4 linked regions of the Ovis aries genome follow. The protein of the gene in region 1 interacts with the protein of each later gene in a pairwise test. Links are inferred from orthologs where the notes say so. Each region holds a gene or a part of one and is shown in the gene's direction. Other genes may lie near its edges. The genes, in order: EHHADH, KCTD6, KCTD9 and DES.

Region 1 (4,358 bases):
CAACCTAGACAGCAAAGGTCCATCTGGTCAAAGCTATGGTTTTTCCAGTAGTCATGTATGGAGGTGAGAGTTGGACTATAAAGAAGGCTGAGTACCGAAGAATTGATGTTTTTGAACTGTGGTGTTGGAGAAGACTCTTGAGAGTCCCTTAGACTGCAAGGAGATCACACCAGTCAATCCTAAATGAAATCAGTCCTGAACATTCATTGGAAAGACTGATGCTGAAGCTGAAACTCCAATACTTTGACCACCTGATGTGAAGAACTGACTCCTTGGAAAAGACCCTGATGCTGGGAAAGATTGAAGGCAGGAAGAGAAGGGGACAACAGAGAATGAGATGGTTGGATGGCATCACTGACTCAATGGACATGAATTTGAGCAAGCTCAAGGAGTTGGTGATGAACAGGGAGTCCTGGCATGCTGCAGTCCATGGGGCTGCAAGGAGTCGGACATGACTGAGCAACTGAACTGAAAAGAATGTCTGTGAAAATAATCCTTCAGTTCAGTTCAGTTCAGTCGTTCAGTCGTGTCCGACTCTTTGTGACCCCATGAATCACAGCACGCCAGGCCTCCCTGTCCATCACCCGGAGTTCACTCAGATTCACGTCCATCGAGACAGTGATGCCATCCAGCCTCGTTGCTGAAATTTGTGAAACGTCAGTGAATAAAACCACTCCATTGTTTTGTTTTTCCTCTGAAACTTCCAGACTGCCTTCTGGCCAGTTGATGGGCTGTGGAGACCACCTGAGGCCAACTGCATCTTCAAAAACTTTGTCCCATTCTGAACCCAGCCTCATTTATCTTTAGTCTTTGGCCTGCTGCCTAGGACATAATAGTTGCTCGATTCATAGTTGAAGTATTAATCTTAGAAATAATCCTTAGGAATGCCAGAAGAAGGAAAAAAAAAAAACTGGAAGGATTGAACAGACAAGAAAGTGGTATGTTCCACAAGGTTGCTGCATGACAGTTCTGTACATGTTTGGTTGATATTAGTACCTTACTCATTTAGATGAAATGCATGAAGTGTTTTATATGTTCCAGGTATGTGTCATATCATATAATTGTCAGGATCCCACATATCTGTCTTTGTTAAGAAGGATAATGAAGACTGTGATGAAGCTGCACCAACTTAGTGCATCTAGAACTTGTCCAGGGAAGCCAGCCCCTCTGGGCCAGGGGTTTGCAAATCTGGACTTACTGGCAATTTCACGCATCTTCCAACTTCCTGCCTGACCTACTTTGTGATGGGAGCAGGACAGGGGCCAGCAAAGAGGAAGAGACGGCAAGGGTGTGCTGAGCACGGGGCTGCGGTCAGGGAAGGAGGAGGACTGAGATGGAGGATGGGCATCAGAGCCCGGGAGCGTCCCGGGGCGGGAAGCGGTGCTGGGGCCGGAGGCGGTGCCGGGTTCACATTGGCCCAGCAGACGCCCCTCCTCTCCCCAGGACGCGCCCAGCGAAAGTGATCTTGCCTCTCAGCTGAGGGGTGAGGCGACTTTGGGGCAACTGAGCAAACATGGCTGAGTTCACGCGGCTGCAGAACAGCCTGGCACTGATCCGTCTACGAAACCCGCCAGTCAATGCGATCAGGTAACGGGCTCTCGGCGATCAGTCTGGGGAGGGCGAGCAGGGGCGTACCTGCCTGCCTCAAGTGGAGGCTTTGACTTCCCCCTGCTGGTTTAAACGGAGAAAGACACTGACACGGATAGAATCAGGGCAAATGCCAGGACCTTTTACGTTGTGGTTTCCCAGACGATAAAGCGTCTGCCTGCAATGCGGGAGACTCGGGTTCGATTCCTGGGTCGGGAAGATCCCCTGGAGAAGGAAATGGCAATCCACTCCAGCACTCTTGCCTGGAAAATCCCATGGACGGAGGAGCCTGATAGGCTACAGTCCATGGGGTCGCAAAGAGTCGGACACGACTGAGCGACTTCACTTTCACTTTACATTGGTAGCCTCGGTACCTGTTTGCAGAGACCTCTCATCTCCGTTTCGCTGATAAAGAAACCGAGGCTGAGAGGAAGACAGCTAGAAATTGGGGAGCTGCGCCCGAACCGGTCTGTCCGTGCCAACTTCGTGCTGAACTCCTGTTTACTTGCAACTTTGACTTCTCAGATGTACTTTCTAGTCCAGAGGTCTTTGTGCCTCTGTCCGTGCCAACTTCGTGCTGCACTCTTCTGCTTACTTGCAACTTTGACTTCTCAGATGTACTTTCTAGTCCAGAGGTCTTAGTGCCTCTGTCCGTGCCAACTTCGTGCTGCACTCTTCTGCTTACTTGCAACTTTGACTTCTCAGATGTACTTTCTAGTCCAGAGGTCTTAGTGCTGTGCTGCCTGGACCTTGATCCCTCCCTTCCCAACCTGGAGTCCAGGCCACCCTTACAATGTGTGACTAAAAGCTTTGGGAGTCCAAAAATAAGGTGGCTTCACACTGTTAAAAATAAAGATCCCCATTAATGCCAATATATTGAGTAAAAGAGAATTATGTCCTGGCCCAGAAACACAAAGATGTATCTCTTGGTTTGTTCTAAACTTCAAGGTCTTAGTGCTTTGGTGAAGATCCATGTTAGAATAAGCTCATGTCAGAATTAGCCTATTAAATAGCATTTCCTGAAAAACTGCTGTGCCGTTTATGTTCTTTTATCGTGGAGTACTTTTCTTGTTAAACTAGTAAAAGCATTACTTTAAAAAGTGAGATTAATGCTGCTATTTTGAAAATTAATGATATATAGGTTTGTGCTAAGTCACTTTAGCCGTGTATGAGTCTGTGTGCCCCTATGGACTGTGTGCCCCTAGGCTCCTCTGTCCATGGGATCCTCCAGGCAAGAATACTGGAGTGAGTTGTCATGCCCTCCTCCAGGGGATCTTTACCACCCAGGGATTGAACTCTTATGCCTCTTGCATTGGCAGGGAGGTTTTCACCACTAGCACCACCTGGTTCTTTTATATCTCTGAAAAAAGTATAGTGATCAACCTGGGGAAAAAACCACTCGTCCACAGGGAGTAGGGAAATGATCATTTACAGAGAACATATAAAGCATAAAGAGAACGACTTTTGGTCAGAATCCTTACTGCATGCTGCTGGAGCAAAAAGAGACTGAAATGAGAAGACATGCTAATTTTAACTGAATTTTTGTCCTGTCAGCAGATTTGGTTTTATCATTAGCATTAATATTATAACTTTTATTTTAATATAAAATTTTGCATTTAATAATATAAAAATTTTCAGAAATAAAATCACACAAAGAATAAGTCCACTTACTTGCCACTCGGAATAAAGCAAAATATTGTTATTTCGGTTTTGATGAAGAAAAACAGGAGTACTACAATTACATATCAATTTTGAACTTTGTATTTCAATTAAAATTACTAAGTATTAGGACTCTGCCTTAATCTCTCATAATGGATAACTGTGCCCATCTCTAACTTTGGGGAAAATGGTTCTACAGTTTAGTACCTATAACTAGGAATATTTTCCCATAACTACTTAAAATGTGTCTGGTATTTAACCTGTTCCCTTTCCCCGTTGCAGAAGAAATTTTAGTACCTACCTCATTAAGTTGTGAGGTTTAAATGTGTTGCCGATTAGAAACTGACACTTAGATGTTGTGTGTGTGTGCGCGCTTAGTTGTGTCTGACTTTTTGACCCCAGGCACTGCAGACTACCAGGCTCTTCTGTCCATGGGATTTTCCAGGCAAGAATACTGGAGTGGGTTGCCATTTCCTACTCCAGGGGATCTTTCCAACTCAGCCGCGTCTTTTGCATCTCTTTCATTGGCAGGCGAATTCTTTACCACTGCACCACCAGCTATCATTATTTTTATTAGGCAAAAGGCCTGTTACAAGCCCCTACCAACAGGCCCTGCTGCTCAGGATTCATTGCAGCTGCATCAGGATTTTCTCCATTTGGCGATAAACACTTTTTTGCGCTTTCCTCTTAAACTTGTACTTAGGTGAAGGTATGTGTCCTAGCACGCTCATCCAGTTTAACAGGTCCCCCCCCCCTTTTTTTCTCTCTTTTTGCTTTACGCTTTTCATCTCCCCTTCCTTTCCTCCTTCCTATTTCTAATTTTATTTGGGTAACTATTTCTTCTTAGATAAGTGAGAGATTATTTGAATATATTTTGGCCCAAACAGTTCAAATCTTTCTTTGTTCCTTTAGCTAAGCGAGATTTCTATTTGGATAAATGCCAACCCTCTTTATAAATGTAGGAGATGCCTAATTACTAGATTTGTCTCCCAAAACAATGGCTTTTATATAATTTTTAATTATATTCTACACAGTAATCCATGTTTTACATAGCAACCTAGGACACGCACACACAAACACACATACAAATATGTAACTGAAAGCAAAGTTTA
Region 2 (4,188 bases), on another chromosome or scaffold:
TGCTTCATCCAGCCCAGCATTTCTCATGTACTCTGGAGCTGCTGCTAGGTCGCTCCAGTTGTGTCCGACTCTGTGCGACCCCACAGATGGCAGCCCACCAGGCTCTTCTGTCCCTGGGATTCTCCAGGCAAGAATACTGGAGTGGGTTGTCATTTCCTTCTCTGGGATGATGTACTCTGCATATAAGTTAAATAAGCAGGGTTGACAATATACAGCCTTGCTGTACTCCTTTTCCTATTTGGAACCAGTTTGTTCCATGTCCAGTTCTAACTGTTGCTTCCTGACCTGCATACAGATTTCTCAAGAGGCAGGTCAGGTGGTCTGGTATTCCCATCTCTTTCAGAATGTTCCACAGTTTATTGTGATCCACACAGTCAAACAAAGACTTTGGCATAGTCAATAAAGCAGAAATAGACGTTTCTCTGAACTCTTTTGCTTATTGTGAAGGAGAAATGGCAAAATCCCTGTACCTGATCCCACCTGGAAAGGGATGGGGATTTGGTTAGCCAGAAGTGAGTTCTGTTTGGAAGGAATCTATGTTTGGAAACCAATTAGCTCAGACTTTAGGTAATTCCCACTCTTGCAGCCTTGGCTTCCTTCGTGGTGAAATGAGGACAGTATTGGTGCCAGCTTCCTCTAGGGCTGGCTCCTTCAGTCCTCAGAGCCTTTGCACTGGTCGTTTTCTCTGCTGCCCTTCTCTCCATCTGGCTGTCTTTCCCTACTCCGCCCACAGACTGGAGAGGTGACCGTATCAATCCCACAGAGGGTAAGGCCAGGAGTCCTGGGACCACAGTTCCAGAGTCCAGATCTTGTATAGTCACCGTATCTGCAGCAGAGGCCCCCTCCGCTTATTCTCCATCGAATTCATGTACCTCCCAACATTTTATAATCATAACTTTTTTTTGTAGTCATTTTTTTGTCGGCTGTTTACTTGGGTCTTTAATGTTTCTCCTTTCATTAGGAAGCCCCTCCTTCTTGGTGACCGCTTTACTCGTCAGGCCTGGCACTTGGTTGGGATCCCTTAAGTATTCGTAAAATGACCGGAGAAACTAGGTTTGAGCCCTAGCGAAAAGTGCCGGGGGCTGGGCAGATCCCCCAGTGCGGGCGGAGGCGGGATGTCGGGCGAATTCTGGGCGGAGCGCGTGGGTCTGGGGCCCGAGCCTCGGGGGCGGGATCGGGCGTCGGGGCGGGGCTTCAGGGCTGCCGCGGAGCCAGCCTGAAGGAGCCGCCCAGGCTACGCCTGGTTTGAGTTTCTCCGGCCGCTCGGCCCTTCGGTCACTAGCCCGCGACGCCGTTAGGGGGCGCCCGCGCCTGTGGCGCCGTGTCTCCGCTGGAAAGGCGCCGCCCGCTCCGGGCGGCAGGAGCCGCAACTCCGGGCGCGGGCTCAGTCGTCCCTTCTGCCGCCGCCGCCGCCGCCGCCACCGGGCGCGGGCTCGCTCGTCCTCGCGCTCGCGCTCTCCGGCCGCCGGCGTCTCCCGGCCCGGCAGCCACCGCCGCCGCAGCGCAGTGAGTAGGGGCGGGCCCACGACGCGGAGGCCCGGGGCTCGGGAGGGCTGGGCTCTAGCAGAAGACCGCGCGGAGCGGCCCGGCAGCGGGGTTGAGGGGAACCCGGGCGGTGGCGGGGCCGCGCTCAGGGGACCTCGGGGAGTCCAGGCGGCGCGCTCCGGGGCTGGCACGAACCCGCCGCGGGCTGCCCGCGACCAGAGGCCGGCCTTGGGCGGAGGATCCGGGGCCTGCCCCGCTGGGACTTGCGGGTTCGGCGGACCCGGGTTTAGGGCTCGGGTGCGCGCCCCATGCCCGGGCCCCAAGTGTCTCCCGTCCCACGCCCGGGGCCCGGGTCGGGGTGGGGGACTCTGCCCGTGGGCAGCAGTGAAGCCGGGACGGGAGCACCTCAAGGTTTGCTGGAAGATGATTGATTGTGGGTGGTGCTTATTGGCTACAGTTTTCCTTATTTTAAAGCCCCCGGCAGGACTTCTGAACCCTGCCTTAGGGGATTTTTCTGCCCCAAAGAGGGATTGACCGCAGCTGAGTTCTTAATGCCCAGATTTGTGTGTGCCCAGGGCATTCTTAATGCTGGACGTCAGAGGTGATAAATGGCCGTGGTGGTGAGGAGCCCCTGAAGCACCTGCCGGGCTGGGCTGTCAGTGGTGGAGGCTGTCTGAGGGGTGGGACTCCAGAAACGAAGCAGAGATCCTTTTTGGATATTGTGCTGAAGTTATCATGTTTCTGCAACTATACCAGTTCTGGAACAAGTTGGCTACTTCCAATTTTAGGGCTTTGTGATAGAAGAGGTTTGAGTGCCCCGAGACCTGAGGTAACTTGGTTTGGCCAAGAGCGTTTGGGGTAGCCTAAGCGTGTCTTACCGTTTCCCCTTGGTATGTGCATTTTCTTTGCTCTCACAAACGCCTGAGTATATGAACGATTCCAAGAGAGGAAAGAAGCGAGGGGACAGCGTTTAGCACAGGACTGAGCCCAGGACTGAGATGTTTTCGAACAAACAGATGTGTAGCTAGGAAAAGGAAAATCTCTTTTTTAACCTGCATGGTTGGTAGGTTGAGACAACTTGCTCTTTGATCAGACCATACTAGTACTTCATTTTGCATAACATCATAAATATTAAGAATTGAGTGGTGAGGACCACCATAGATGCTGTTTCTAAGGTTCATGTCATTTAAATTTTAATTTGTCACAGTTTAAAGCATTACTACATGAAGAAATTTTAGAGTGAATCTGTGAATCACTGAACGTGTCTTGGATTGTGATATTTGGAGTCTATTGAAAATGGAATCCAAATACTCATTTGGATTTGGCTTTACCTTGGACATAATCCCGAGTCATGCTTTAGAGTTCCTTCCTTCTGTGATGAAGAGGTCAGACGTCTGGTGGTCTCTGTGAAAGCCAGATGCTCCACCTTACCTGTGGTTCTCCCTTGTGGGGCTCCAGGAAAAGGAGGACGGGATGAGGGAGACTGGAAGCACATTAAGTGCCCTCCTCTTCCATACTTGCCCGGTCTCCATGCCCACGCTCTGAATTACTTGTGTCCACACTCCGGTTTCTCAGTTCGCCACAGAAATTGTAAGGATGCTACTGCCAGTAGTGTTTCACATTTGCCAGTTTACCCATAAATTTTCGATTCATGATCTCACTTATTTTTTCTCCAAGAAGCAGGTGGGCAATACAGAGTGATTTACTCTGGGTCTTATAATTAGTCATGAAGCCAAGCTGGCTTAAGGATCCTCACCTGTGGCCTTTTCTCTCTCCTGCTCTGACCTGTCTATGACCTCAAACCCCAGGCCCCCATCTGTCACCCTGTAGGCCAGGTGTTGCCTCTGTGTTGTGCTTAAGTGGTACTGTTCCTTTTGGGAATGTGGTATTATTCTGTTTTATCTTACAGAAATTAAGGTAAGAGGGATGGTATGGTTTTGTGACTATTTGTGGTAGCTCTTCAGTAGGAAAAGTCACTTTTCAACCTAGAGCGCCTTTTTTGTAGACCACATGGAGAGGGCAGAGAGAAAAAAGGATTAGGTTTTGGATGAAACGGTCTGTTTGTGTATTGGTTATGGTCAAGCGTAACCTAACACCATAATCACATTCTCCTTCTGTGCCTGGCTACTTAAACCAGCCTGTATGTGAATGTTAACCCCAAAGACTCCTTTAGTTGATGAACTAGTTACTATAAAAAGTATTTCACTTTGAAAAGCTCCCACATTTCAAGAACAGAGAAATTCAGCACAAAGGTGATTTTGAAGGTATGTATAGATGGAATTTGTTGAGTTGTCTCTTCTGAATGCCAGCTACAAAGATTTCAGTAGAAAGGCGTTTTAAAAGGGCTACCTGGAAACTTAGGGAAGGAAATAGTTATGTGTTTATTATTTATTCAAGTTTGGAGGTGTGTATTGCAGTGTATAAGTTATTATATAGGATAGGAGCAGGAGTTTTATTCCAGAGAATTCTTAGTCTGTAGCAGAAATGATAAGCCCAGAATATGTGTGTTTCATTAGTTCATCATAACCACAAAGCCTGTAATTGAGTTCTGCTGTGGTGAGGAAAATGAGTTTCAGGGGTTCTTACGTTATTCTTTAAGTCATTCACTTATTGAATTGTGTGTTTTTCACATTTGCTAATGTAGAAAATTGTTACCAGTTTTTTTTTAAGGCTTTCCTAAATTCTTGAGTTTGTGTTTTCCTT
Region 3 (2,360 bases), on another chromosome or scaffold:
CCTCTTTTCCTTGGATCTCCCTCAGGTAGATAACATTTGATATATGCTTTTTTAATCCACTTGATTGTGCTTTTCTTAAATTTGAATTCCAAACAATTAAATGGGGTCAGATTATTTCTTAAACTTGTTGAGAAATTGAAATGTTTGAAATCAGGTTCAGGGAAAGCCTGTTCTAAATTGGCATCATATTCTTTTTTGAATCTCAGCCTGAGACTTTGATTCTGTGCAGCCAGTCATCTTTTTCATCAGAATTGTCTGGTATATATCATCTTGAGTTGCAGATTGAGCTGGCAGACCGCACAGCTGTTAATGGGGGTGTATCACTGACAGCTCTTTCGGCAACAATGGGCATGTCCTGTGGCTGTGCTATTCAGTCCAGCACCTACCAGCCACATCTGGCTGTTGAGCCAGAGCAACCGAGGGATGGATTTGTAAATTGTGTTTAATTAAAATTCATTTAAATGTAAACTGCTATATGTGACTAAGAGTATTGTATTGAACAATACAGACCTATACAAGAAAATCTGGCATAGATTGGATTCTAGAGAATAGTATGTTAACATTTAGCTTGTTGATTTTTTAAAAATGTTTTCATCTTGCTCTTTTTTTGTTATACTAAGAGTACTGTTTCTGTGTTTTTGTCTATCCTTCTTTCACTCTATACTTCCTTCCTATGCAGTCTTATTCAGTCCTAAGGTCTAAAATACGATCCTTAATTAGGTGATCCTATATCATAGCCAACATCTAGATCTTTCATCTGAATTCACCTTGTTCTCTTGATAGCTCTTAGCAGCATAGTAGCAGGCCCCGTTGAACCTGAAGGCAAAAAGAACCAGCTTGACTGAAGGTATAAACCTATTATAAGTACAGTTATTTAACTTTTAAAATATTGTTACTGTCACCTAAGATGAGGATCTTTTTCCTTTGTTTCAGTTAGCATGTGACTACACATGAGTTCTTTATTTAAACAGTAGAAAGCCTCCCTTTATCTGATTGCAAAGACTAATCAGGATGACTATTGGGGCAGCTGCTAACCCTCTATCCTATAAAGGTTATGTGCAGTCACCCTTTTCTCTAACCATCATCCCCAGGGACTTAGCCAGAATCCCTGTCCCATCTGTCACTCTGTGATCTCAAGGGAAATTTGAAAGCAGCTACCAGTCGTGGTGGTTACACTGCTGTATATAGATCTGTTAAAACTCACTGAATTGTATACATAATTGGGGGGTTAAAAGCAATTCCTTACTCTAAGAATGTTAATGTTAGGCAGTTACATGATACAATTTAATTATTAAGTAAAATCCCTTTCTCTGTTTAAAAATCTGAGTCTTCCTCACCCCCATGCCTTTCATTATTGTTCATGGATTGTGGTAAAACCATTAAGTCACTCAGTCGTGTCTGACTCTCTTGCGATGCCATGGACTGTAGCCCACCAGGCTCCTCTGTCCATCAGATTCTCCAGGCAAGAATACTGGAGTGAGTTGCCATGCCCTCCTCCAGGGGATCTTCCCAGACCCAGGGATCCAACTCACATCTCCTGCATTTGCAGGCAGGTTCTTGACCACTAGCGCCACCTGGGAAGCCCCAAAGAGATGTTTAACTAAATCACTTGGCTGTATACCTGAAACTAACACAACATGGTATGTCAGCTATGTGTGTTTTAGTCACTAAGTCATCTGACTTTTGTGACCCCATGGACTGTAAGTCTGCCAGGCTGATCTGTCCATGGGATTTTCCAGGCAAGAATACTGGAGTGGGTTGCCATTTCCTTCTCCAAAATCAACTAGACTCCAATATAAATTTTTAGAAAAAGAATAAAGATTATCTCAGGTCCCAGAAATCAGTTTCTGATGCTCAGACCCTATGAGTTTGTCAGTGGAGCTGCTTCCATTCAAGCCCCATATTCCCAGGGAAGCCCATAAAATTGTTTATATACATTCTGGATTTTAAATGCTTAAAATTCAAAAGGGACATGCTTCATCATTGACCTTTGTTTATATATAATTTGTGGTGGTCACCCTGAGTAAGCATCAACTAGAGAGAAAAAATACAGATAGAAGAAAATATGGCTTTCTCCTAAAACTTATGAAAGTTTTCCAGAAATAACTGAGTTTTATTCTATAGGAACCTTTTCCTGATATGCCCCAGGAACCATTTTAAGAAGGAACAAATAAGCCCTTTAATCTGTTAGTTCCATGAATTCTGTTTGTGTCCTGCAGAATTGTGACCTGTCTGGGTGTGACCTTCAAGAAGCCAACCTGAGGGGTTCCAACGTGAAGGGCGCCATCTTTGAAGAGATGCTGACGCCACTACACATGTCACAGAGCGTCAGATGAGAGGCCTGGAGGGAGGAAGTTGCC
Region 4 (2,349 bases), on another chromosome or scaffold:
ACCCTTCCAATAAAACTCAGAATGGCTCTCTTCGGTTAGCAGTTTATGCAGATACCAAGTGTGAGCCTTGCATTTAAAATCACTTAATGGTTTTTCAAGTCAGTAGTTCTGGGCCATGACAGGGCAAGTACTGCTGTTACCGTTCATTTCACAGTGGGGAAACTGAGGCATGGAGGGACAAGTGACTGGCCATCTGCACAATAAATCAGTGACTGATTCCTGTCCATCTCTCTTTCATTAAGACATCAAGTTGTTCATCCGGAGTCAAAAGGGGCTGGGTACCATGAGATCCTTCAAAAGAGTGCCTTGGTTCTGGGCTCTAGGGTCCTCACTGTCAGGGTTCAAATTCCTGCAGGGATCTTCTGGGGACCAGGGGTGGAGGGGGAGTGAGGAGGGGTGTCGGTGAGGGGGCGGGAATGCTGGGTGGCCTGGGGCCTAGGTGATCCCTCACCCTCTTGAACCTGCCAACACCTGGAGCACACCTGTTGGCTCGTCTTAGCTCAGCCCTGGGCAGCCCCTTGGGTCTGCAGAGCCACCTACTGGGTGCTGGGCACAAGGAAGATGTTTTGCTGAAAAAGTAACAGGCCCATATTGAGGGGGTGGGTGTCTTCTGGGCTTTGCCCAGTGAGACCAGGGAAGGACTCCCAGCCACAGGAACAGCCAGGCCTGGCCTTGGTCAGGCTGAGCGTGTGGATGAATCTGTTACAGAAACAAGCCCTGAGCAGAGGGGTTCTGAGGTCCATACCAAGAAGACGGTGATGATCAAGACCATCGAGACTCGGGACGGGGAGGTGAGTGGTCTGCCTGGAACCCTTACCCCTGAGGTTGGGGGGGGCTGTCAGCCAGGTGTCTTCTACCAGCCGTGCTGGTTCTGCCTGGGGGCAGAAGGGTCTGCCATGCTGGGGAGGAGGTGTCCCGGGGTCATGACTCCATTCTCCGGCCAGCCCTGGGTTAGACTGGGTTTCTCTTCCTCTCTAGGTCGTCAGTGAGGCCACACAGCAGCAGCATGAGGTGCTCTAAAGCCAGAGACCTCTCTGCCGCCAGAGACCGTGCTCACCTCTGTCCTCACTGCCTCCTAAAGCCAGCCTCCCTCCATCCCAGGGCACCACCCCCAGCCACAGTGCTCCGCTCACAGCCTCTGACCCCTGCTCACTGCGACCACCTGTCCTGGTCCCCACAGGGGACCTGGCCCAACCCTCCCGGGCACAGGGAGCCCCTGTCGTGTGAGGTCTGGATGTTGAAGTGAGGGGGCCTGGCCCTGGGCCGCCCTTGGAATGTGCTGGGCAGGGCCAGGCTGGAGCCAAGACATGGCAGTGACCTTACCCTTCCCACCTCCGTGACTTCAGGCTCTAGCATATGGCTTTGGAGGGGACTCCAGAGCAGGACGTAGGAACCCCTCAGGGTCAGGTCAAGCCCTGTGGACCTCCCCATTACCCCCTCCCCGGCCTGAGTCAGAAAGGCAGCATCCTCGGCAAGCCATGCAGATAACTGGGGACATAGCCCCCACCCCCGTGGAGACTGGGGGGCTCGAGACTGACCCCATGGTCCCTTACTTTCCCGAGGTGGGCTTACAAGGCAGGGGCTGCAAGAGAGAACCCCCGAAGGTGCCAGATGTGGGAGCAGGAGATGCAGAAAGAGAGAGGGTGGGCGAGATGCTGGAGAGAAGAGGAGAGAGGAGAGAGCGGTCTCAGGCAGGTGGCAGGGGGGCTCACCTCCCCGTGCCTGCCCCTTCCCCGCTGCAGGGGCTCTGAACAGAAAGAAACAATAAAAAAGATAAGCACAAGCCTAGCACGGCCCCTGCTGTTTTGACTGCCAGGTCTTCTCTGAGAGAGCCCTGTCACACTACCTCTTTTTTTTTTTTTTTTCTTTTTTTAATATTTTTGGGCCACATAACACAACATGCGAGATCTTAGTTACCTGACCAGGGATTGAACCTGTGCCCTTGCAAGGGAAGCATGGAGTCCTAACCACTAGACCACCAGGAAATTCCTTGTATCGCTTCTTGAGGTGAACTGTGTGCTGCCTTCCTACCCAGCCAGACTGTCCCCCAGGGCCTGCCACCCCTTCTGTTCCCAGAGCCTCGCAGCCTGGCTGTATGTGTGTAGCATATGGGGGAGGGGGCTTTTGCTGGGGACTCACACATACCTCTTGTTATGCCCCATTACCAGGACTGCCCCCACGCACTGCTCTGAAGTAGGGCTCCTGTGGTCCTTGCCTAAGGTAGCTTACACCCTCTTTGCACTAAACCTGGATCTTCGAAGCTCCAAGGCCAATTCAGGAAAAATGACCTTGTTAAGAAAAACAGAAAGCTCTATCTCATCCTTGGAAAAGAAGACTCACTGCTCTAAA

What was found.
Region 2: the proteins of EHHADH (region 1) and KCTD6 interact in binary tests that used the Homo sapiens proteins (3 or more experiments, as listed by UniProt). The two-hybrid records come from large-scale screens. The link is inferred for Ovis aries from reciprocal best matches to the Homo sapiens genes EHHADH and KCTD6.
Region 3: the proteins of EHHADH (region 1) and KCTD9 interact in binary tests that used the Homo sapiens proteins (3 or more experiments, as listed by UniProt). The two-hybrid records come from large-scale screens. The link is inferred for Ovis aries from reciprocal best matches to the Homo sapiens genes EHHADH and KCTD9.
Region 4: the proteins of EHHADH (region 1) and DES interact in binary tests that used the Homo sapiens proteins (3 or more experiments, as listed by UniProt). The two-hybrid records come from large-scale screens. The link is inferred for Ovis aries from reciprocal best matches to the Homo sapiens genes EHHADH and DES.

The regions. Positions count from the first base shown.
Region 1 is NC_056054.1:202,653,316-202,657,673, forward strand, and holds the start of EHHADH (peroxisomal bifunctional enzyme), read left to right. Parts: upstream 1-1,490; 5' UTR 1,491-1,513; coding exon 1,514-1,587; intron 1,588-4,358. UniProt on the Homo sapiens protein: Peroxisomal trifunctional enzyme possessing 2-enoyl-CoA hydratase, 3-hydroxyacyl-CoA dehydrogenase, and delta 3, delta 2-enoyl-CoA isomerase activities. Catalyzes two of the four reactions of the long chain fatty acids peroxisomal beta-oxidation pathway.
Region 2 is NC_056072.1:42,983,619-42,987,806, reverse strand, and holds the start of KCTD6 (BTB/POZ domain-containing protein KCTD6), read left to right. Parts: upstream 1-1,321; 5' UTR 1,322-1,506; exon of another isoform or gene 1,507-3,749; intron 3,750-4,188. UniProt on the Homo sapiens protein: Probable substrate-specific adapter of a BCR (BTB-CUL3-RBX1) E3 ubiquitin-protein ligase complex mediating the ubiquitination and subsequent proteasomal degradation of target proteins.
Region 3 is NC_056055.1:40,204,699-40,207,058, forward strand, and holds part of KCTD9 (BTB/POZ domain-containing protein KCTD9), read left to right. Parts: exon of another isoform or gene 1-2,219; coding exon 2,220-2,336; 3' UTR 2,337-2,360. UniProt on the Homo sapiens protein: Substrate-specific adapter of a BCR (BTB-CUL3-RBX1) E3 ubiquitin-protein ligase complex, which mediates the ubiquitination of target proteins, leading to their degradation by the proteasome.
Region 4 is NC_056055.1:221,350,446-221,352,794, forward strand, and holds the end of DES (desmin), read left to right. Parts: intron 1-708; coding exon 709-791; intron 792-978; coding exon 979-1,020; 3' UTR 1,021-1,788; downstream 1,789-2,349. UniProt on the Homo sapiens protein: Muscle-specific type III intermediate filament essential for proper muscular structure and function.